Linked DNA regions of Macaca mulatta. The protein of the gene in region 2 interacts with the protein of the main gene of each other region in a pairwise test. Links are inferred from orthologs where the notes say so. Each region holds a gene or a part of one and is shown on either strand. Other genes may lie near its edges.

Region 1 (4,275 bases), on a different chromosome or scaffold from region 2:
ACTCCAGATTTGCCCAATCTTGTTATTCTCCATCTTCTCTTTCAATCAATTCAATCTCTTTGTTTCTCCATTTCCAAAACTTGTGACTCCCAGCCATTAACCTTTTTTTCTTGTTAGTAAACTGACACACAACCCCCAATTTATCTATCTTGTCTCTTACCTCTGCTTTCTCTTGTTAGAAAGAGCAGCTTCCTTCAACTCTAGCTCAGCATACTTCTCCTGATCCAGGTTCATTCCACTTGTATCTTAGAACCAATAGTTCCAGACCACTGTATCCTCGTTTGACATACGTTTCTAATAGATAAGAAAGGAATCTGAGAAGTAAAAAATGTCATAAAAATATTAACATTTCTTAAATTAAGCATATTTTAAAGTTTAATGTTATAAGGGCTTTATGATGAATCCACTGGAGTCTAAGCTTGATTCTCTGACACTGTTCTCTCATTCTTCTAAACCACAGTATCCAATCTTTTGGCTTCCCTGGGCCCATTGGAAAAAAAAGTATCTTGGGCCAGACATAAAATACATTGACACTAATGACAGCTGATAAGCTAAAAAAAAAAGAAGTCCATGCATAACTTTTGTTCTATCAGCCACCACAAAAGGTCCATGCATAATTTTTGTTTTATCAGCCACCACAGATAAGTAAAAAGAGTCCTCCCATTCAAAAGGTTAGATACCAGTGTTCTAAAGGCTAACAAATGGAATGAATGAAGCAAAGGCAACCTTCTCTTTCCAGGAAAATCTGAAATTATTCTTCCTTTTATCCATCAGACTAGCCTAAAGGAAGTCTGCTCTCTTCTTGGAATAACATATTTCATGCAACATTCCATTTCTATTGTGTTCATTTGGACACTCAGAACTGCTGAAAACTGATAAATTATGGCAACTATATTAAATAGTACATTACTGAGCTCAGGCCAACAACTTCTTGTAAAGAAACAAGTCTATTTATAGTGACTGGAATCCTTCAATATAACTATTGATAACTAACATCCTGGGCATACTGTGTCTCCAACTAACAGGTTCTGGAGTGGTTGGGAATTAAGAGACAGAAAAGAGGCAATGAGATCTCCCTCAAGTGCAGCCTCAGAAGAATTGGAAATGCATAAGAGAGATTTATAAAACACAACGCTGGTCCCCCACTCCATCTTAAAACGTCGATACTTTTAGCCATGGGTAAGTTGATGTATCTATCCCCATAACCCTTTCTCCTCCTGACCCCCATCCTTCTCTAGGGACCTACTGGAAGGAAGGAAATTTGGTAAATCTATGTGCTGAGAGATAAGTGGCCATGTAATGAGGTAGGTTAACAACAATTGTTCCTGTATATATTGTTGGCACACACAAATGTGTTTGGAGTAGGAGCTGATAACTTCTTTGGACTTGAATTTTTTCTGTCAGCAATAGGAGAGAAGTTCAATCAGATGATTTCTCTCTACCTGTGGAAATCCAACTTTGACTTGTGGTGACCCTACCCCTTCCTCAGTCTTTTACAAATTAGGTGGCCTCCTCACCTGAGATGAGTAGAACTGTATGCACAGTAAGGCACCAGGACAGATCTAGACTGGCAAAGAAGTGGTGAAAGAAATGGGGAAAGGGTTCGGGAAGAATGGAGAGGACTCTAAACTACAGTCATAGTGAGACCTTGAGTGCCTCTGGGTTAGTCCTTCGTCTCCCTCTACTCCTTGTGTCTCAGCTGAAGGGCAAACTTCAGGGACGATCTCATTTTGTTTAAACCACTGTTCAGGGTCCCACCTTGCGACCCTGTCCTGAGAGGTTGTCCACAACTCTGTCCCACCCCCGTCTCCATTTTCTTCCGCCAGATCTGGGGCAGGGGGATTGGAGAGGGGAAAGAGGAAACGTCGTTGCTGGCAGGGTAGGGAGGGATGCGTGTCCAGGTGAGGAAGAGGTGTGACGTGAAGGTGGGATGCCCGCCGCTATGACGCAGCCGAGACCCGCGGTGACTGCGTCAGAGTTTCACCCGGGGAGGTGAGCAGCAGCGGGACGGGGGAACGGCGGGGTAGCCAAGCAACGCCGGACGCGCTGACGTCGCCGGGGCGGCAAAACGTCCGCCCGGGCCCGAGGCGGGCGGAGGCAGCTGTGGTTACGTGCGGGGGGCCGGTGACGCAGTCGCGGGGCGCTGGGACGCGACTTGCGGAGCCGGCCGGCGGGGGCAGGCCCCAGACTCGGGCGCGGCGGCGGGACAGCACCTACCTTCCCGGCTTCGGGTCCGGGAGTGCGGGGCGCGGAGCCGCCGGAGCGCTGCCTCCCTCCTTCCTCCTCCCCTCGCCCCCGCCCCGCGGCGCGACACACAATACTCGCCGGAAGCGGAAGCCGCGCCGAGGCTCGTGTCAGTGGAAGCTGGGGTGTCGGCAGGCAGCAGCGGCCGGGTCTAGCGGTGGCTGCGGAAGGAGGAGGTGGAGGAGGGCTGGCGATGAGAACCAGCAGGAGGAATCAAGGACAAGAAGGGACCCAGAGGGGCAGGTGGCTGAGATGCTGGCGTCCAGGTGACCCGAGGAATCCTCTGGAGATAGAGGCCCGCGCATGCGCGTGCTCGAGCGCTGAAGCCCATGGCCCGCAGGGCGCTGGACGGGCGCCCCGGCCGGCGAGGCTGTCCCGTCCAGGCTCCAGGCCCCGGCTCTGGCCAGGCGCCGCCGCTCCCCAGTGCAGCTGAAAGTCGACGAAGAGGGCGGGGCGAGGGCGGCTTGTGGACTTCCACACTTTTCCTCTCTTCGGGCCAGTCCGGGGAGAGGGTGGCTAGCTGTGGCGGCGGCCAATTACGTGGCGGACCTGCGGGGCTCAGCTGGCACGTCACTTCCGACTGGTGGAGTTTTAGCCTTTTAACATTCAAGGATTAGGTAAGTTCTCCCCCGGGTAGACTTCAAATACTCTTTGTCCTGCCCCTGCTTGGCGAAGTTTACCGAAATTATCTACCTACCCCGCTGGAGTGGGAGCCGGGAGAGAGCTGGAACCGCGACTCTGCTGCTCACCTTTGTGTCCTTAGCTCCTTCGCATGGGGTCCGACCGCAACACGTGCGCTGGATAAACGCTGGTTAACTGGGTGAGAGCCCAGGCCTGTTCTTTCTTCTGGGGCTGTGACTTGAGTTTCTCCGCAGGAGCAGATAGTGTTTGTGTAGGGACTGCGGACTTTTACATTACAGCCTCCCTGCTTTGCTCGCTTGCTGCTGGAAGCTTAGCAGGTCCTGTGATTTTGGAGGAAGTGGGTGAGGTGATGAGGCCAGGAAGAGTATGCTGGGAGAGGTGTCAGGGGCCCGGGAAGCGGTGATGGGGCTGGGGAGGGGTTAGTAGTGGGTAGAGGTGTGAAGAGGCTGAGGAGGAGGGGTTAGTGCTAGGAGGGGTGTGACACGGCTGGTAGAAAAGATAGCTTGCTCCGCCTCCCCGCCCCCAGCACTAGTCCTGGAGAACATTGATTGAAAGAGATGAGCAAATTTTGATGTACTCTCCTTGGTGAGAAAGTGCCCTAATTTCCGGTGTAAGTTGTGCTGCTGTTTACAAACACCCTGCATTATTTAACCTCTCATCTTGGGAGCCAGAAACTATTTACTTGTAGAAAATATCCAGTATCTAAGGTATAAAGATTTGGGATCACACATGCTAATTACAGTTGTCTACCTTTATTATTCCTTTTTTTGTGCCAACAATTGAAGAGGATTAAATTTGAGAAAATTACATTTGATACCTTTTTTTCACATTGCTATGTAGCCATTAGGGATTTTAGCAGCAGCAGTTGTTCTAATTCACAAGATGCCTCACTTGTAAGGGTAGTTTGAAAGCCACTAACTGGGCGGTGAGCCTCCTTAGCCTTGGCTTCGGAGGGAGAGTGAGATTTGGTTTTGATTTGTTAATTTGTGGCGCATAAGATGTTGATAACCCTCCTTTCTGGCGTTCGGTTTGTAAATAACCAGGAGGATTGTGATTAGACTAAGGAAATTAACAAGAGGAGGTCCAATTCTAAGGATTATGAAGAATGAGCTTTCCTAGAGACTGATATTAAGGGGATTTTACGGGCCGGGCGCGGTGGCTCAAGCCTGTAATCCCAGCACTTTGGGAGGCCGAGACGGGCGGATCACGAGGTCAGGAGATCGAGACCATCCTGGCTAACACAGTGAAACCCCGTCTCTACTAAAAAATACAAAAAAACTAGCCGGGCGAGGTGGCGGGCGCCTGTAGTCCCAGCTACTCGGGAGGCTGAGGCAGGAGAATGGCGTAAACCCGGAAGGCGGAGCTTGCAGTGAGCTGAGATCCGGCCAC
Region 2 (4,143 bases):
CTCAGAGCAAAGGGAATTTGAATGCCTTGAGGGATATTTTAGCCAGACTGTGGGGAAAAGAAAAAAAAAAATTCTTCAGTGTCTCGCCATCTCTTGTGAAATATGGTTGCTTTAGTATATAGCTGAATCAGTGCTGATGCCGTCGTATGGTTCAATTTTTATTTAGAATCATGCAGTCATGCAGGCCTCTGTGTTCTTCTGTTATCACAAAGGTTACTTAAAACAATTTACTAGTTTGGAGAATTTTAACCTTAGCCCAGCTCTGAGGATGTATTGATGGAATAGGGATTTGAAAGAATCCTCCCATTTTTCTGTTCCCACAACTATTTGTACTAACCTTCGTTTTTGTACTTAGCAAGTTGGCTAGTCCAGGTTTTTCACAGTTGTGGGACCAAAGGGTTTAGCACAGCACCTGGTAGAGAGTAGACCCTTAGTCATTTTTTTCTTATTTTTTGTAACAGCATTATTGATATGTGATTCACAGACTATAAAATTTACCGTTAAAAAATGTACAACTCTGTAGTTCTTAGAATATTTATTATTAGAATTGAGCAACATTATCATTATCTAATTTAAGAACATTTTTATCACCCCACAGGGAAGCATCCTACCCATTAGCAGTCAGTCTTCACTGCTCTCCCCTCACTCCCTGGCAACCACTTACCCATTTTATTTTATTATTATTATTATTTTGTTTTGAGACAGGGTCTCTCTCTGTCACTCAGGCTGGAATGCAGTGGTATCAATCATATTTTTATTTTTTGTAGAGATCGAGTCCTGCTATGTTGCCCAGGCTGGTCCTGCCTGGGCTTCCCAAAACATTGGGATTTACAGGCGTGAGATTTACTACTGAATTTGATGTTTATGAATTTGCCTATTCTGGACATTTTATCTAAATAGTCAGCTTGTGGTCCTTTGTGGCTGGCTTCTTTCACTTACAGAATGTTTCAAGGTTCATCCATTTTGTAGCACGTAGACACTGTATTTCATTCTTTTTTATGGCTAACAGTACATTATGTGAATATACTACTACATTTTGTTTATCCATTCATTCGTTAGTGGATATTTGAGTTGTTTCCAGTTTTGGTTATTATGAATAATGTTGCTGTGAACGTTTCATGTATAAATTTTGTATGTTTTTGTTTTACAATACATTTTGAATGGATGAAGGAAAAGTTTTAGCAAGTCCCAAAGCTGCATTGTTTTGTAAATGACCAATTTAATCCGTTTTATATTGAGATTTACTTGTTTTACTTTGAGATTCATTCTCTGTGTTCTGGAGGTAGCTTACTGTAGTCGTCCTCACAGCTGAATAAATGATTTTTGATTCTTTAATCCAGGATCTAAAATGTCCACTGAGGCACAAAGAGTTGATGACAGTCCAAGCACTAGTGGAGGAAGTTCCGATGGAGATCAACGTGAAAGTGTTCAGCAAGAACCAGAAAGAGAACAAGTTCAGCCCAAGAAAAAGGAGGGAAAAATATCCAGCAAAACCGCTGCTAAATTGTCAACTAGTGCTAAAAGGTATCTCAGTTATTATAACCTTTTTATTTTTGGTATCAGTTTATCATCTTAAGTTCTATTTTTCTCTTGCATTTAATCATTTTTTCCGTGATTGTCAGCCATGAACTTCGTGGATTTTTCTTTCCCTTTCAAGATGATCTCTTTTACATGGTTTTAGCCATAGGGAACTTCAGTATTTAAAGTCAGTTAAATGGCATGGCAGATTCATAAAATACATTTCCATAGTGTGTTTGTGTGTTTGTGTATTATTAGGGAAGCATATACAGGGCGTGCATGTAAAGTTGCAGTGGTTTCATTTATGGTTACTTGACCATAAATATTTTTTTTCTGTTCCGTAACACAGAATAGAGATTAGGAATCTTTTGAAGTGGTTATTGAGTGAGTGATAGTTTATTTTCCACTACTCCCAGTTGGTAGAGTCAGAAATGCTGACATTAGCGACAAGTGCATCTTGGTTTCATTACATTAGTCAGTGGATCCATCTTGATACAGATTTTTCTCTTTCTCTGGAGAATAGATGGATCTGGAAAGTAGGTATTTGAATGGTCTTCTTTTGGTACATCAATCTCTTAAAATGATTGGCATGTCAATGGACTTAGAGGGAATCTGTTTTGATATTGTTACATTATAGAATATCTCTTGGAAAATAATTTGAAAGATAAAGTAGTGTCTTTTGTGATCCTGTGATTTTATGTTCTTGCTTTGTTTTCATATGTTTTATATTGCCCAAATAGGAAGTATAAATAAAAGCAATCTGTAACTTTTAGGCATAGTGGAATGCCTGAATGTTGAATTACAGCTTTATATGTTATTTTATGGTGTGGATTAAGGGGAACTCCTTTCTCAAAGATAAGAAATCATTATTATGTTCTAGTAGACCTTGTTTCCCTTTGGCTTAGTCAGTCTACAGGATTGGAAAGAACCTTCTCAGGCCCCTTGGTGAGAGATGTTGGAGGATGGTGAGTGGTTATTCCAAGGTACTAGAGTATTCAGTTTCCCTTTCCTGGGGGTGTATTGCTGATCTCTGTTGAAGGAGCTGTTTGAAAGTCAGAGAGCCCTGAACTTTAAACTTTTAGACCTGTGTACTAGAACATGCCAGGGTGGGGAAGAGGGTTCAGTTTGTTTTGCCATCACACCGCAATTACAGGGGACTCAGCTGGCTGACCCTTCTGTTGCCAGACCACGACACAAATGACCTGCTTAGAGGTGACCTGGGAAATGGGGGGTGGGGTTAGGATGGATAAGAAAGGTGAGGAGTAGAGAAAATGTGACATTTAGGTGAAAGAAGGAAGTCGATGTGGGTGGAAAGGAGATGTTCAGGTACAGATTGTAGTTCCATGTAGATGCGGAAAATCTAATTCAGTCCTCAGTGTCTGATTGGGTTGTTACAGGGCCTTTTCAGTTTGTCAGAAAAGGGCAAGGATTGGTTGGCCAGGTCCTTGGGGAATAGGGTTCTGCTGGGCCTGTGCTTTATTTTGTGATTGCTAGTTAGCAAAGTTACCTGTTGTGGTGAGGCTCTGCCTTTTCCCCTAACTGGGAGCACCACTATAATATACCTTAAAATCATATTTCTTGCATGATATGCCAAAGATCAAATTCTGCTTATGAAAGATGTACTGCTTTATGTGTGAACATGAGTTTTTCAAGTACATGGGTCATCTTTATTTTACTCTACACTATATGTAGAAAGTACAGATTATTCAAACCTAATGATAGATTTCATGAGGGAAAAATACGGAAGATGTGTTTCTGCTCTGTACATAGGAGATACAACCTAGTTTAGAGATAGTGTATGTACAGAGCACAGGACAGTGCCTGCCTGCCAGTAAATAGTAAGTGGTTGTATTGCGTTGGTGAAAGTAAGAAGTCTCTTTTGAGTTGCTTCCTGGCTGAAAGAATCCCTCTGTTGGCAAATTCCTGTGAATCTGTGATTTTCAAGTTGTGGTTCATGATCTTCCTCTAGAAAGGTCTTCAGTTGGTTTTTGGGTGACACTGTATGAAGTGATGTAATTATTTACTATTTATTTTAAATATAAAAATGCGGCTTTGCTACTAATTTTTTAATTAAAAAAAAAACTTATTTTCCCCTCTCTCTTCCTCCGATTCAGCTGATAGGGAAGTTGTTGGTTCTTTGCCATTTCTGCTTAACTTAGGAAAAAAATTGGGAATTATGAGAACAGAGGACCCCACATCTTTTAAGTTCACTGTCATATCCACAGTACCTAGCAGAGTGCAGTCACAATATTTACTTACTGGTTACCTTGGAACCCTGAGCTTATTTTAGGGATTGGATTTTCCATGGATATTAGCATCTTAGTACTAGTGTGTTCAGAAGATTAAAAGTTAGAGGTAGTTTCAAAATAAATTTTATTTCACACTTTTTTGTTGATGATCATTTTTATTCAGATGAGAAGTCTTTCCCAAATAGTGTCATTTTATGAGAAAGAGTAGCATTGAAGAGCTTGAACTCTAGAGACAGGATCTACGTTTGAATCTAGGTTCTAGCATTTAGTAGCTATAGCTCTGTGGTCTTTTTTTTTTTTTCTTTTTCTTTCTTTCTTTTTTTTCTTTTTTCTTTTTCTTTTTTTTTTGAGGCAGAGTCTTGCTCTGTCACCCAGG
Region 3 (4,188 bases), on a different chromosome or scaffold from region 2:
TTTAACTTTTGCCTTAAATATTAAACAGTGAGAAACCAAGCACTGCACCATGATAGCAGCAAAACCATTCACAATAAACACTTAAATTTTTAAACCGCTATACCATGACTTTTCTGCCATAAAATGTGATTTGAGTCATATTGGGCTGTGCGTCTTAAAGTTATATGTGGACACCTAATACATTCAATGTGCCAAGTATTTTTAGTCCCGAAAGAAGGCAATAATAAATAACTGTCAAAAGAAAAAATGTGTGATCAAATTATTTTCCATAAAAAATGATGGCTTTAGTAATTAAGACACTTCTCATCTCTAAACCAAGAGAGTTTATTTAGTAGAGATCTTTTACCCTAGTTACTCCACTTCTTCCCCCTATGGTAAAAATAAGAATCACCATAAACCAGCCAGCAAACAAGGGGCAAGAATAATACACGATTTTATATTTTCTCTAACGAAATATTTATCACTTTTGCAGAGTGGGTTCCTCTCCTCTATCCTAACAGTGAGATACGAGTTTTATAACCCACAACCTACAAATATCCAAGTGTTAAACTGCTAGCTAGTTCATATTCTTGTCTATCACGCTACATGTCTATAGGGTACTAAAGAAGGAAAAGATTTGTCTTGTAAAAGACAGCTGACAGAAATACTTGAAACAACAAAAAAAGATAACCATCAGTTTCAGCTGCTCCCTACAGCAACGCAGAAAGCCTTTCTCAAATTACATTCCACTTTCAGGAAGTATATCCAAACAAAGGTATACTTTGTCCAGCAGTGAAAAAAAGTAATCATATTTCTCACCCAATCCTACCAAAACCAACAATTACGAAAAACACATTATTTAAGACATTGAATATTCTCTCAGGACTATTTCACTTATATTTCTCAACCCATTAAACAATGTGCCTGTGACACAGAAGACAAAAAAAAACTTTTTCTTACATCCAAGATGCAAATTTAAAAAAATCCTAACAGAAATATAATATAAACTAGAACATGGCAAGCATTTATACAAAATGCTCATCTTACTCAGACTTACTCGCCTTTTCAGACTTAAAGTCGGTGTACACTGTCTATATTCAAACTCATGATTTAACTAACATTCAAATCCTAGGCCCAAGTGCCTCTGATAGTAAGTATTCCAAAGATGGGTCCCCACTCTGGGTACCTTATTATTACTATCGTGACAAATACTACTATTGACAGACAACGTTTTGGAGTTTTTCTTACGTTTTTATGAACTTCAACTGACAAATAATGCTTTCCAGTTTGTAACTAGTTCATATTCCCGAATTTTGAGAAAATCACTCAACTTAGTAAACAACGCTAAGAAGCCACACTTTAAACTGTCATTTTACGACAACCTTAAAAGGATACACCAACACCCCTCCAAGTAATTTCAGCCTCCTCCTCAAAGCTGGGATCCGCATACTTGATTGTAGAAAGCTTGGACGAAGCAACCTGGGCAGCTTTAACCCTTCCAGGGAAGGCCTCACTCTGGGGGAACAGCCAGGTACCAGGAGGTACAGGTCGTCCCCTCTCCCAGGTGGAGGGGGCCCTAGGGGAAGCTCGATACTCGCCTGACTTTTCCACCAGCTCCCGGACATCCTTCTTCTCAGGCAGCCCTGAGTAGCCCAACCCTCGGCACTCCAAAATGGTCTTCAGCTTCTTGAAGCTCAGCGCCACTGGATCCACCAGCTGGGTGGCAAAGATGCCAGTTTCATACCACACAATGGCTTCAAAAAACCTGGCCAGGACGAACAGGACCAGGAAATAGAGGAGCAAGAAAAAAAGCTTCAGCCACATCTTCCCTGGCGTCTTCTCTCTTTCCAGAGAGCTCGGAATACGGGAGAGAGAAGGGTCGAGGGCGGAGGCAGCGGCTCGGTGGCAGCTTGGGCGAGGGCCCCGTGTCCACGCGCGGGCCACCCGGCGCCGTCACTGGCCGGCCATCCGCGACGGGGAGGCAGGTGACGGGATCTGCGCGGGCGTGAGGTGGCGACGAGGGACGCAGAGGCGCAGAGCCTCGCGCCGGGCCTCCCAGTCAAGAGGCGACAAAAATAAATGGGAAAAACTCACAACCGCCATCCATTAAGCACCGAGAGGCGAGGGGCGCGGGGAGAGCTCACGGGAAGAAAACGAGGGACGCTTCCCTCTGCGGGGGACACTGACCCAGGTGGCGGGGTCGGCCCTCCGGCGCCGCGATCTCAAGGGGGAGGGGGAGAGACCAAAAAATAACTCAGATTCGCCAGGAGCCGGAGATCCGGGCGGCAGGCCCGGGCCCGAGGGGCCGTGGGGGCCGGACTCCCGCGGCCGCGGGTCAGGAGGGCGCGGCGCTCGGCCGGGCCAGGCCTGGGGCCCAGCGTGTCCTGCGCGGGGAGGAGCGACCGCCGCAGCGCCGCGCCCGAAGCCCAGGCCCCAGGCCCCGCCGACCGCCCAGGATCCGCGAGAAGCACGGCGGGCACGGCGGCGGCTCCACGTTAGCTCGGGCCGGCTGGCGGGCGGCGCCTCTCAGGCAGGCGGGCACCGCGGCCCGGCCCAGGATGGGGCGTCGCGGTCCCTGCAGAGGGAATCGGTCTCGGTGGGAAAAAACCAATAACAGGCCCTGAGACTGCTCCTCCAGGCGGCTACCCGGCTGCCTCCCGGCCACTCAGCGCCTGCCCCGCTCGGATGGGCGGCGCCGGTCGCGGCACGGGTCCCCAGCACCCCCGCCACCTCCGGAGGCCGCGGCCGTAGCCTCCACAGCCGTAGATCAGGGACGGCCGCGGCCGGAGCTGAGACACAACAACTGACGTCGGGACGAGGCGGGGCTGGGGCGGGGCCTGCAGGGCAGGCCCGCAGGGGCGGAGGGCGGGGAATTCGGGGAGCCGCGGGGCTCCTGGACAACCGAGCAGAGAGTGGGAGGAGAGGCGGAGCCCCAGCCTGGTCGGGGCCTTCCCGCGGTGCCGAAAGTTGCCTGTCCGTGCTTTTGTTGCGTGGTCTCCTCTTTTGCCCCGCCAATGTTTAGCAATTGATTTCGTCTGAGTATTAGTCTTTGGACTGTATCACTTTGTGTATTTTCTGTAAAAATAGAGCAGTTAATTATTCTCTTAAAATCGATAAAAATAGAAATATACGTTTTTTGATGAATCCTGGTGAACAGCGAAATTTTTGGCACAGTTGGTTTGAGATGGTAGAAGGTTAAACCCAGAAAGCAAATGTTTTGCCCCCTCTTCATGAGAATATGGCTTTGCACATGTGTGTTGGAGGAGGTTTGGCCAAAACTGGAGTTAGCGTTATCCTAGGCCCAGTTGTCGCTGCCAGTTATAGCCTTTTCCCTCCTTCAGTCTCAGGGGTGTTAAAAGCCTGGTGTGAACTCCCTGAGTTCCTAGGACAAAGGTTGTTGAATGTTGATACGTCCAGGTGCAAAGTTCTGGGTGCTTTATTTTGTACATGGGCCGGGCGCGGTGGCTTACTCCTGTAATCCCAGCACTTTTGGAGGCCGAGGCGGGCAGATCACGAGGTCAGGAGTTCGAGATGATCCTGGCTAACACGGTGAAACCCCGTCTCTACTAAAAATACAAAAAAAAAAAAAAAAAAAAAAAAAAAAAAAAAATTAGCCGGGCGTGGTGGCGGACGCCTGTAGTCCCAGCTACTCGGGAGGCTGAGGCAGCAGAATGGCGTGAACCCGGGAGGCGGAGCTTGCAGTGAGCCGAGATCCTACCACTGCACCACATCCAGCCTGGGTAACAAAGCAAGACTCCATTTCAGAAATAAATAAATAAATAAAATAAAAATAAATAGTCACATGGACAAGCATGCGATACCCGATTCTGTGCTTATAAATTTAACAGGGCTGAACGTACTCTTTACCTCAATCTCTGTCAGTCTTGAGGGAGGAAGGAGTTGGGTTCATAAATTGAACCAGGTTGTCTTTGACCAGCCGCTTTTGATAAGGAAGGAAAACAAACAAACAAACAAAAAGCAGGAATTACTGGGAAATGTGACTATTTGTGCAAAACTATCAACTATCCGAAACTAGGGGTGACAGTTTTAGAAAGAAAGGGATATGATCCCGGGTCATGGAGCAAGTGAGGAACGAGAAGCAAAGAATGGACTGTGAGAATGTAGCCTCCGAATGGTGCCCATTTAAAATAAAGTGAACAAGGGCGTTTCAGTGCCGGGCTGGTGGGGGAGGAGTTGGAAGGGGCTGGG
Region 4 (4,298 bases), on a different chromosome or scaffold from region 2:
AGGACATGATGGTCCTACACAGTAAGGAACAGATTACCTACAATATTAATAGCAGCCTCCCATACACGCTTTTGACACCCTTCCCCAAAGGATTAATGTGCTCCAACTTTCCTGTCCCCACAGTTCAGTGGCTCTCCCTACTCTCACCATAACAGGATGAAAAAAAATAAGCTTTCACAGCTTAGGACTGAAATTCTGGAATCCAATTATAAGCTCATAACTTTAGCATGGAACCTGGCAGTAGCATAATAAATAAATTTTTAGTAAGAGACAGACTGAAGAAATTTCAGAAAAAAAAAAAAAAAAAAAAACTCCCTTTCTTCCTCCCTACATATCTCATGTTTTTCAACACACAAAATTCTGTGATTTTAGAGAAACTTCGTATAGTGCTTTTAAGTTCAAAACCAGATGCTCATTACAGTTCTTTTAAACACCTAACCAGTCATCTCAAAAATATGGCTAACTCTCTGAACTAAATTTCATAGGAAAGATTATTAATTTCAAAATGCCTAATTTTGATCAAATGCCTGAAAGAGCCAAAGGCAATCATGTTTTGCATCTCATTCAGGTCAGAGTTCGATGAGGTCAGAAAAGCTCCAATGATATCCGGAGGTCTGTTCAGAGATTAAAATATCATCCTAACAATTCACAAGCTACTTCTAAGGGTTACCCTAAATTAGTCACTAACAGTTCGTCCCCCAACTCTATTTCACATAGTTTATAGAATTGACAAAAAACCGAACCAAATGAAAACAAACCCCAGGATATTTGCAGGGAGGGGGAAAGCGATACCCCAAAAGTCAACTCTATTTCACAGTAGGTAAAACAGTGATCCACGAGATATTACCCTCCATAAAGTACCCTAAAGGCAGGAGCAATCTTTCCCCTACACAATATCTAAATTTTCCCAACTCACCCAAAAGAAACTTAAGATGTAACTTATTCACTCAACTTGCCAATTAGCAAACAGCGGCCCCACACACCTTTTGGCCAATTTTCTAGAAGCCTGACCTAGCAGACAGACCTGTTTTCCTCCTGCCAGGCCTTTTTAGCCCTCCCAGTAGGAGCCTGGGAAATCCCCCTCCAACCTTTTGCTGGCCTGTCACCAGAAGTTCATAAAATGAATTCATCCAGATTCTCTGAATCCTCCTTTCCCCCAGTCATGTGCCAACAGTCAGGCAATAATGCCCCACCTTGACAGGCTCCCTGTTACAAAAAGATGCAGATTCACGGGAAGACCAAGCACTTAGCATGGAGCAGAAGAAAAAAGATGGAGGGAGGTGAGAGTCGTGGAGCCAAGTCTGCTGCATGCAGTACGGGTGACCAGAGCCCTGGTCCTGCAAAGCCCCCGCGAGACTCGCCGGCTGGGCCCTCCGTACAGCAGCCACACCTGTCTATGCCAGCCGCCTGCCGGCTGCTCCATTTTAAACATTTCAAACAGATCTCCAGCAGGGTGGCACAACTGGGCACCTCTCTCTCCCAGCAAGAGTGAGAGCCCTAATCCAGGCATCACTCGCCCCTAATTTTATTTCATTTTCATACTCTCTGTTTTGGAGACACTGCTTGCTCCAACTGGCTCCATCTCTCCGTTACTGGTGAGGCAGGCACAGTGCTGCAGTGGCAGAATGGAAGCACCCAGGCTGACTTGCTCTCAGCCAGAGAAGACCGCTTCTCTGAGGAGGGAGATGCCAATAAATGGGACTCCAATAGGTAGGCTTCGCTCTGCCCTTCCACAAGTGAACACACGCCGGGAGTCCTACATCGCCAGGCTCCGCAACCTTGCAGAAAGCCTAGTTCCCAGAGGGTAGGTATCCCATTCATCCCTTGGCATCGGGAACCAAAGGGAAGGCAGACAGATCCCGGTCGTGCACTATATTCCCAAACCTTGGCACGCGCGCGAAGGCTTGGGGCGCCCCGGCGCGCCCTCCCTCCGAGGCCTCCACCACCGTGGACTCACCACTGTGCGAGCTGAACCACCTGGGTGCGATGTGCAGAGGTAGAGCATCCGCCAGCGAGGCTCGGGAGCCCAGGTACAGCATCCCGTCTCTATGGTGACTGCCGCCCGTCTCCTGGTAACCATTGCCATGGGCATAGGTGGAGTCGGACGCGGACCCTCCGCCGCCGGGCGCCCTCTCAGAGTCGCCGGTGCCCCGGGAGGCGGGGGTGTAGAGGCCAAAGGGCACCCCCCCTGCTGTGCTGGGGTCCATGCCCATGCCTGCCACCGAGCTGACCGAGCGGCTGCGCAGCCCCATGGCCCCGCCGCCCGTCCGGTAGTGCCCGAAATGGGGCGCCCCTCCCGGCGGCGGCACGGCGCTGTCATCGGTGGAGACCCCCGGGAAGGGGCCCCGGGAGCGGGTCGCCGTGCTCTGCTTGCCCCCCATGCTCGCCCGGGCCCCGGTGGGGCGGGAACCTGGAGGCCGAGACCCTCCCCCACTTCTCAGCAGCGGGGGGAGGGCTGGGCGAGCATAAAGAGGGAGGGAGTCAAAAAGGAGACCCGAAGGGAGAAAAGAAAAAAGCAAAAGAAAAAAGGAAAAAACCCGCGGGGCGGAAGAGGCAGGCGGGCGGGCGGGGATCCCAAACTCAGAATTTCAAACGATCCAAGCCAAACGCATGTTTCCCCTCAAGGTCCAAAGAGGCGCAGTCCGGCGCGGGCTCCGCGCGCCACAGGCCGCCCCCGGGCTCCGAAAGCCGGGGGAGCCGCAGGGAAGGAGGGAGGGAGGCGGCGGCGAGAGGCAGGCGGGCGCGGGGAGGCGCCGGAGGAGGCCGCCCGCCCCGCGGGAGGAGGAGGAGGACCGGGGGCGCCAGGCGCGTCCCCCGCCTCAGGACGCCGCGACCATGGACGGCGGCCCGGACCTCTCCAGGCCTCGGGCGGGCCGCGGCGCTGGGCGGCCAGGCGCAGCTCGGGAAGCCGCGGTCGCGTCGTGTCGCGCTCTCGCTTCAGTCGCCGCCGGCCCCGCCAGCCGCGCCACCCCGCTCGGTCCCGGGCAGCGCTTGCCGGCGCTCCTGGCCGCCGTGGAGACAATGGAGGGCGGCAGAGCGCAGGCGCGGCCTGCGCCCCCTCCCCCTCCCCCCGTCGGGTTAACCCTTTCGCGGCCCCTGCGGCGCCCGGGCAGCTGACGCCCCAGCAGTCCCCACCCACCGCCCGCCCCCGGCCGGCCTGTGACCTGGGCGGCCTGAGCCACTGGGCGTTAGCCACAGAAACCAGATGTCTTTGAAAAGCAAACACTTCTTAAGTCCCCGAAAATGGCAAATTATTCAGGGGGAACCACGTATGGGGGAGGGGCAGCAATGGTTCGAGGGGGTGGGAAGGAAACACCGGGAAGAAGGAGATTTACTCCTTACGCCTACCTGGCTCTGAGGGTCACCAGTCGAGCTCCCCTCCTGGCACAAATTTGCCCCCACAGCACCCTCTGGTGGACGTGATGTCCATTCTTTCGGGGGTTCCCCATCCAAGCACCCCTCAGGTCCGGAATCTCAACATTTGGCGGGGTTTAGCTATTTGGGGGTAAACAGCGCCATGGGGACACTTGTGAATCCGGAGTGTTGCTGACACTAGGTCAGAACTTCCTATTTTGGGCTTAAGCAAATGAGTAGATTCCTTAGCTAAAATGTAATTTTCAGAACCAATAGAGGTACCATAAAATGTGAATAGATATGGATATGGAAATAGAACTACGTAGCTAGAAGTGATTATAGAAACCTTCTGTCCAAGGTTGGAGCCCTGTTTTGTTTACCATGTTCTGTGTTTCGGCCTACACCACGGCCAAGGACACGGTGGGTACTCAATAGGTGTATTGTTGACCAAGCCTGCATCATTTTGCAAGGGAGGGTTCCTTTGATACCTCAGTCCGTCTTTCTCTCCTATATTCACATTCATTCAGCGAACAATTGTTTTTCTTTTTCTTTTTTTTCTTTCTTTTTTTTTCTTTTTTTTTTTTTTTTTTTTGAGACGTAATCTCACTCTGTCACCCAGGCTGGAGTGGAGTGGCCTAATCTCGGCTCATCGCAACCTCCGCCTCCCAGGTTCAAGCGATTCTCCTGCCTCAGCCTCCTGAGTAGCTGGGATTACAGGCGCGTGTCACTGCACCCGGCTAATTTTTTGTATTTTTAGTAGAGACAGGGTTTCACCATATTGGCCAGGCTGGTCTTGAACTCCTGACCTCAGGTAATCCGCCCGCCTTGGCCTCCCGAAGTGTTAGAATTACAGGCGTGAGCCACCACACCTGGCCTGTTTTTCTTTTCCTTTCTTTCTTTCTTTCTTTTTTTTTTTTTGAGATGGAGTCTTGCTCTGTAGCCCA
Region 5 (3,931 bases), on a different chromosome or scaffold from region 2:
ATACCCTTCGAAGCCCCCACCTAGATTTCGATATTGGAATCATTTTCTTTCTTCCCCGGGCCAGCCTCTGCTCTGTCCCCTCAGGTCAACTCAAGGTAGCCAGTGTGGCTACTGGAGAGGTCGGGGAACACGCTTTGTTTCAGAAGCGTTCACAGGAGTCCCCTGACACCTCCTACCCGGCAGATAGCTAACGGGGGTCCTGCCAACCCTTCCCATCCAAATTCCATCTGAAAAGGATTTTCCACTAAAGTTGGGTCCCGGGCCATCCGGCACCTGTAAGGCCGGCAGGAGCGTCTGCCCTCAACTCAGCTAAAGCCTGAAGTCGTTTCCTTTCGATGGTCCTTAGCAGGCCCAAAAGAGGGGCGATAGAACGTGATGTGACACGGGCCGGGCGCCCCCAGAAGCCCGGGAACAAACGTGAGTATGGACTGGGTGGGGGTGGCTCTCTGGAGGGACCTTTACCGGCGCACGCCGGTTTCCTAGCCTCGCCCCAGCAGCGGCGCGAGCCCCCTCTCCCCACCCGCCCGCGCCCAATCCAATCAGCGCCTGCCATCGCCTTAGCAACAGGCTAACAAACCTGGCTCCGCCTATCCCGGGCGCCCGGGGCGGGGTCTCAGTTACCAGGCTAGTTTGAGAGCTCCCAGTTTCAAGTCATTGAAACTATTCCAGACTGAGCTCGTCTACGCGTTGCAGGGTTTGGGGGGGGGGGCATTTTGTTGGGGGTGCAGGGCATTTAGTTTTCTTTACCATGAAATCATGGTGTAACTAATGAAATATTTGTCCTCACAACTCATTGTTCTACTTTTCCCCCATTGCAAGTCTCAACCTCTTGAAGAAAAATCTGTTTCTTTCACCCATTTCATAAAAGGCTGCAATATTCAGAAAGGTAGAAACACAAACTCATCTATCTGCTTTTCAACAAATACCAAGACTGTCATTAGGCATCTGCATCTCCTATCAGTGTTAACGCTTGGAGACATTAATTAGTTATTTCAGGATGCAAAGTACCTGTATCTACGAAAATCCTACTAAAGAACTGAGTTCACCTTAATAGTTTCAGAAATCATGCATTAATACTGCCCCTCAAAGCATCCTTCATTTCTCACTTGCCTTAGTTCAGTCATCAGCACCTCTCCAGGATGTACGTTTTTAATATAAAAAAGAAGGTAAAATATGGCTCTAATTTTTTTCTGAAAAATCGCCAACATCTGAACTAAATACTGCATTAAAAAGGAGAGGCACAAAAATTACATAACCAGTTTTAACATTATATTCTTCTTGGGCTAGGAATTAAGTCATCGCCACCACCTGACGCGTGTAACCAATCTGCTGAGAGCAGAACAAGCGCCCCTCCTCACCACCCCCCAGAACTGGTCCGAAACAGGATTGAACCGCTTCTAACAAAGGGTGGAAACTTAGAAAAACAAGCCTAGACTCTCCTATATTTCCACAATGTAACCATTTAAACAATAGATTGGAAATCTCAGGACTCCTTCTCCCTTTGACAACCCTTTATCTCCCTCTTCTAACCAAAAATCAAATCCAGTGTGCCCTATACTTTTCAATTCCATTTGACTGGCATGGGTTTCATTGAATGCACGTTCCAAAGTTAGACATGATGCTCGGAAAAGAAAATTACTGATCCTAAATGGCTTCTAAAACTGACTCGATACCTATCATAATGACAGACAGTACCCTTTAAAATAAGGAATGCTGGGTGTAAATTTTTAAAGGAATGGGAAAGAATAGAGAAAAAACACGTGGGGTGTTGATACCATATGTCAAAATAAGCCACATAAACCTTTTATGAAAGCACAGTGATCAATTCTTTAAAGTCTTTTGCATTCCAAAATTAAAAATGAAACACGCCCATTAAGCCTCTTAAAAATGTTATTACATTTCTTGATTGAAGTTTAGTTTTTACATCTTAGGTTGCAAGTAAAAGGGCAAAAATCTAAGACTGCAGCTTTTAGCAATTCATTTGAAAATATATTAGTAAAACGATTGCATTGGATTCAAGCAGAATTTATAAGGTGCAAATGGACTACAAGCGCGTATGGCACAGACCAAGCCGGGTATAGAGGTAGTTGAATAAGTGTAGTTTGCAGTCACTTTGCAGATGCCTGCATGCATTACGGCTTAACACACGATGAACGTCAAGGGGAATCCAAACCTTCCAACTTTGCTAACCTTTATCAAACTGCTTAGTTATACTATGAGTAGAATCACGTTAATTCAGAAAACTGAAAAGGTACGTTTCCAAAGAAAATGAGTCCAATGACTTCTGAATAACAGAAAAACTTACCTCTTTCGTGCCCAATTAAGATGTCTTTATGGTTGAAATATTCTACTTCTTCAGTGTAATTCTGTGTATAGGCAGTATTGGAGCCGGCGTTTCTAGATTCAGTCCAGCGTACTTTCGCATGCCCTCTTGCATGAATTTTAAGAGATTTTACTCTGATTTCCCCAGTAACTTCTAAATTTACCCTTCCTGAGACAGTATCCCCACTAGAATACACAGGGACATTGCTGTCATTAAGACAGTCAAAGCTTATTGTCAAACTCTTCACCTTTCCCAGCACCATGTTTATAACAAAATCTATAAAAATATAATGTAAGACAAAAAAGTCAAGATCGCATATAAAATGTGATCTTCACTTAACACTGATCGATATTTTTGCCGTGCAAAATGCTTGCAGGCCGGATCAGTGATTCTCTACAAATAGTTCATTGAGATTTCTTAAAAAGTCAGGGCAGCAGAAGCTGCTGCTCCGCGCTCCCGCTCGTCTCAGTGGTCTCCTTACAAAGACGGGCGGCTAAAGGCTGCCAGCTCACTTTAAGAGCAGCTTTGTGAAAAACAACCCCAATGCGCAAGCGCAGGCCGCGGCTGCTGTCCGCCCTCCCTGCGCGCCCCCTCCAGCGCCGCGCCGCGCCGCGCCGCGCTCGCTCCCTCCCTTGCTCGCTCGCTCCCGGGTACAGTAGGTGTAGAGTTAGGGGAAGGAGATACTGGAGCTGCCGGCCGGCTGAACCTGACTTCTCTTCATTGTGGGCTCCTATTGGTAGGCAGGCTGCCGTATACCCTCGACGTGCTATCTGGAGCCCCTTACCGAGCACACTCTACTGGAAAGATAATGGCAGAGTGGGGCGCGAGGGGACAAGGCCTGGGTGGGGAGTTTGCAAAGCCAAGTAAGGATAAACTGCAGTGACCACCCCAAAGCGTGCGTTACTGGCACTGCAGCGTTTTACCAACTGCCTGGATGGGAGGAGGAAAAAGTGATGTGTGAAGAGAGATGGGGGAAGGGAGAAACCGGTTGGGCAAGCGGCCGATTGTTGAGCATAATCTAACGAATTTTCAAAGAAAATGTAATAAAACTGGACAAGAAGTATTGTTCATAGACAAGAGCATACTTGGCTTGGATTTTTTTTTTTTTTTTTAAACCAGTACTTTGTAGGCAGGGTGGAAATGAACTCAGTCGAGGTCAAAGGAACCTTAGTCCTTTGAAGAGCGAGGTAGAGAAGCAAGTACAATGTAATCAATAGGCTTTTTTGTCTCCTCAACTTCTTTCTCCTACATCGCTTAATTAGATAGCACCGAAAAACAACCAAGTTGTTTCCAGGATGACACGGGTGGGGGCTGGGGGGAAGCTTGACCACTTCCTCGAAGGAAGAAAAAGTCCTTTTTAAGACACCACCTACGGCTAGATTTGCAGAGTAAGACATGATTACAACTCCTGTGTCCAGAGGAATAAGAATAGAGTTCGGCCTAAAAAAGTACCATCTTATAAAAGGCATAGGACATAGTGGTTTAGCTGACATATTGTTTGCAACAGAATCGGAAAATCTTTGTTAGAAATTAGTGAAGCGCATAAAATTGTTTTTAAAAAGCATGATTTGGTATATAAATAGGGGTTAACTGTGAAGCTTTAATTTT

What was found.
Region 1: the proteins of UBE2E2 (region 2) and TRIM39 interact in binary tests that used the Homo sapiens proteins (3 or more experiments, as listed by UniProt). The link is inferred for Macaca mulatta from reciprocal best matches to the Homo sapiens genes UBE2E2 and TRIM39.
Region 3: the proteins of UBE2E2 (region 2) and RNF103 interact in a two-hybrid assay, tested with the Homo sapiens proteins (2 studies listed by BioGRID). The link is inferred for Macaca mulatta from reciprocal best matches to the Homo sapiens genes UBE2E2 and RNF103.
Region 4: the proteins of UBE2E2 (region 2) and ZNRF1 interact in a two-hybrid assay, tested with the Homo sapiens proteins (2 studies listed by BioGRID and IntAct). The link is inferred for Macaca mulatta from reciprocal best matches to the Homo sapiens genes UBE2E2 and ZNRF1.
Region 5: the proteins of UBE2E2 (region 2) and ARRDC3 interact in binary tests that used the Homo sapiens proteins (3 or more experiments, as listed by UniProt). The two-hybrid records come from large-scale screens. The link is inferred for Macaca mulatta from reciprocal best matches to the Homo sapiens genes UBE2E2 and ARRDC3.

Annotation. Positions count from the first base shown.
Region 1 is NC_133409.1:152,701,602-152,705,876, forward strand, and holds the start of TRIM39 (E3 ubiquitin-protein ligase TRIM39), read right to left. Parts: upstream 2,801-4,275; 5' UTR 2,218-2,800; exon of another isoform or gene 1,648-2,217; intron 1,563-1,647; exon of another isoform or gene 1,518-1,562; intron 315-1,517; exon of another isoform or gene 295-314; 5' UTR 161-294; intron 1-160.
Region 2 is NC_133407.1:25,286,035-25,290,177, reverse strand, and holds the start of UBE2E2 (ubiquitin-conjugating enzyme E2 E2), read left to right. Parts: upstream 1-1,343; 5' UTR 1,344-1,348; coding exon 1,349-1,524; intron 1,525-4,143.
Region 3 is NC_133418.1:37,767,045-37,771,232, reverse strand, and holds the start of RNF103 (E3 ubiquitin-protein ligase RNF103), read right to left. Parts: upstream 2,801-4,188; 5' UTR 2,710-2,800; intron 2,364-2,709; exon of another isoform or gene 1,804-2,363; coding exon of another isoform or gene 1,578-1,803; intron 1-1,577. UniProt on the Homo sapiens protein: Acts as an E2-dependent E3 ubiquitin-protein ligase, probably involved in the ER-associated protein degradation pathway.
Region 4 is NC_133425.1:70,322,626-70,326,923, reverse strand, and holds the start of ZNRF1 (E3 ubiquitin-protein ligase ZNRF1), read right to left. Parts: upstream 2,801-4,298; 5' UTR 2,382-2,800; coding exon 1,958-2,381; intron 1-1,957. UniProt on the Homo sapiens protein: E3 ubiquitin-protein ligase that plays a role in different processes including cell differentiation, receptor recycling or regulation of inflammation. Mediates the ubiquitination of AKT1 and GLUL, thereby playing a role in neuron cells differentiation.
Region 5 is NC_133411.1:97,758,163-97,762,093, forward strand, and holds the start of ARRDC3 (arrestin domain-containing protein 3), read right to left. Parts: upstream 2,801-3,931; 5' UTR 2,586-2,800; coding exon 2,306-2,585; intron 418-2,305; exon of another isoform or gene 1-417. UniProt on the Homo sapiens protein: Adapter protein that plays a role in regulating cell-surface expression of adrenergic receptors and probably also other G protein-coupled receptors.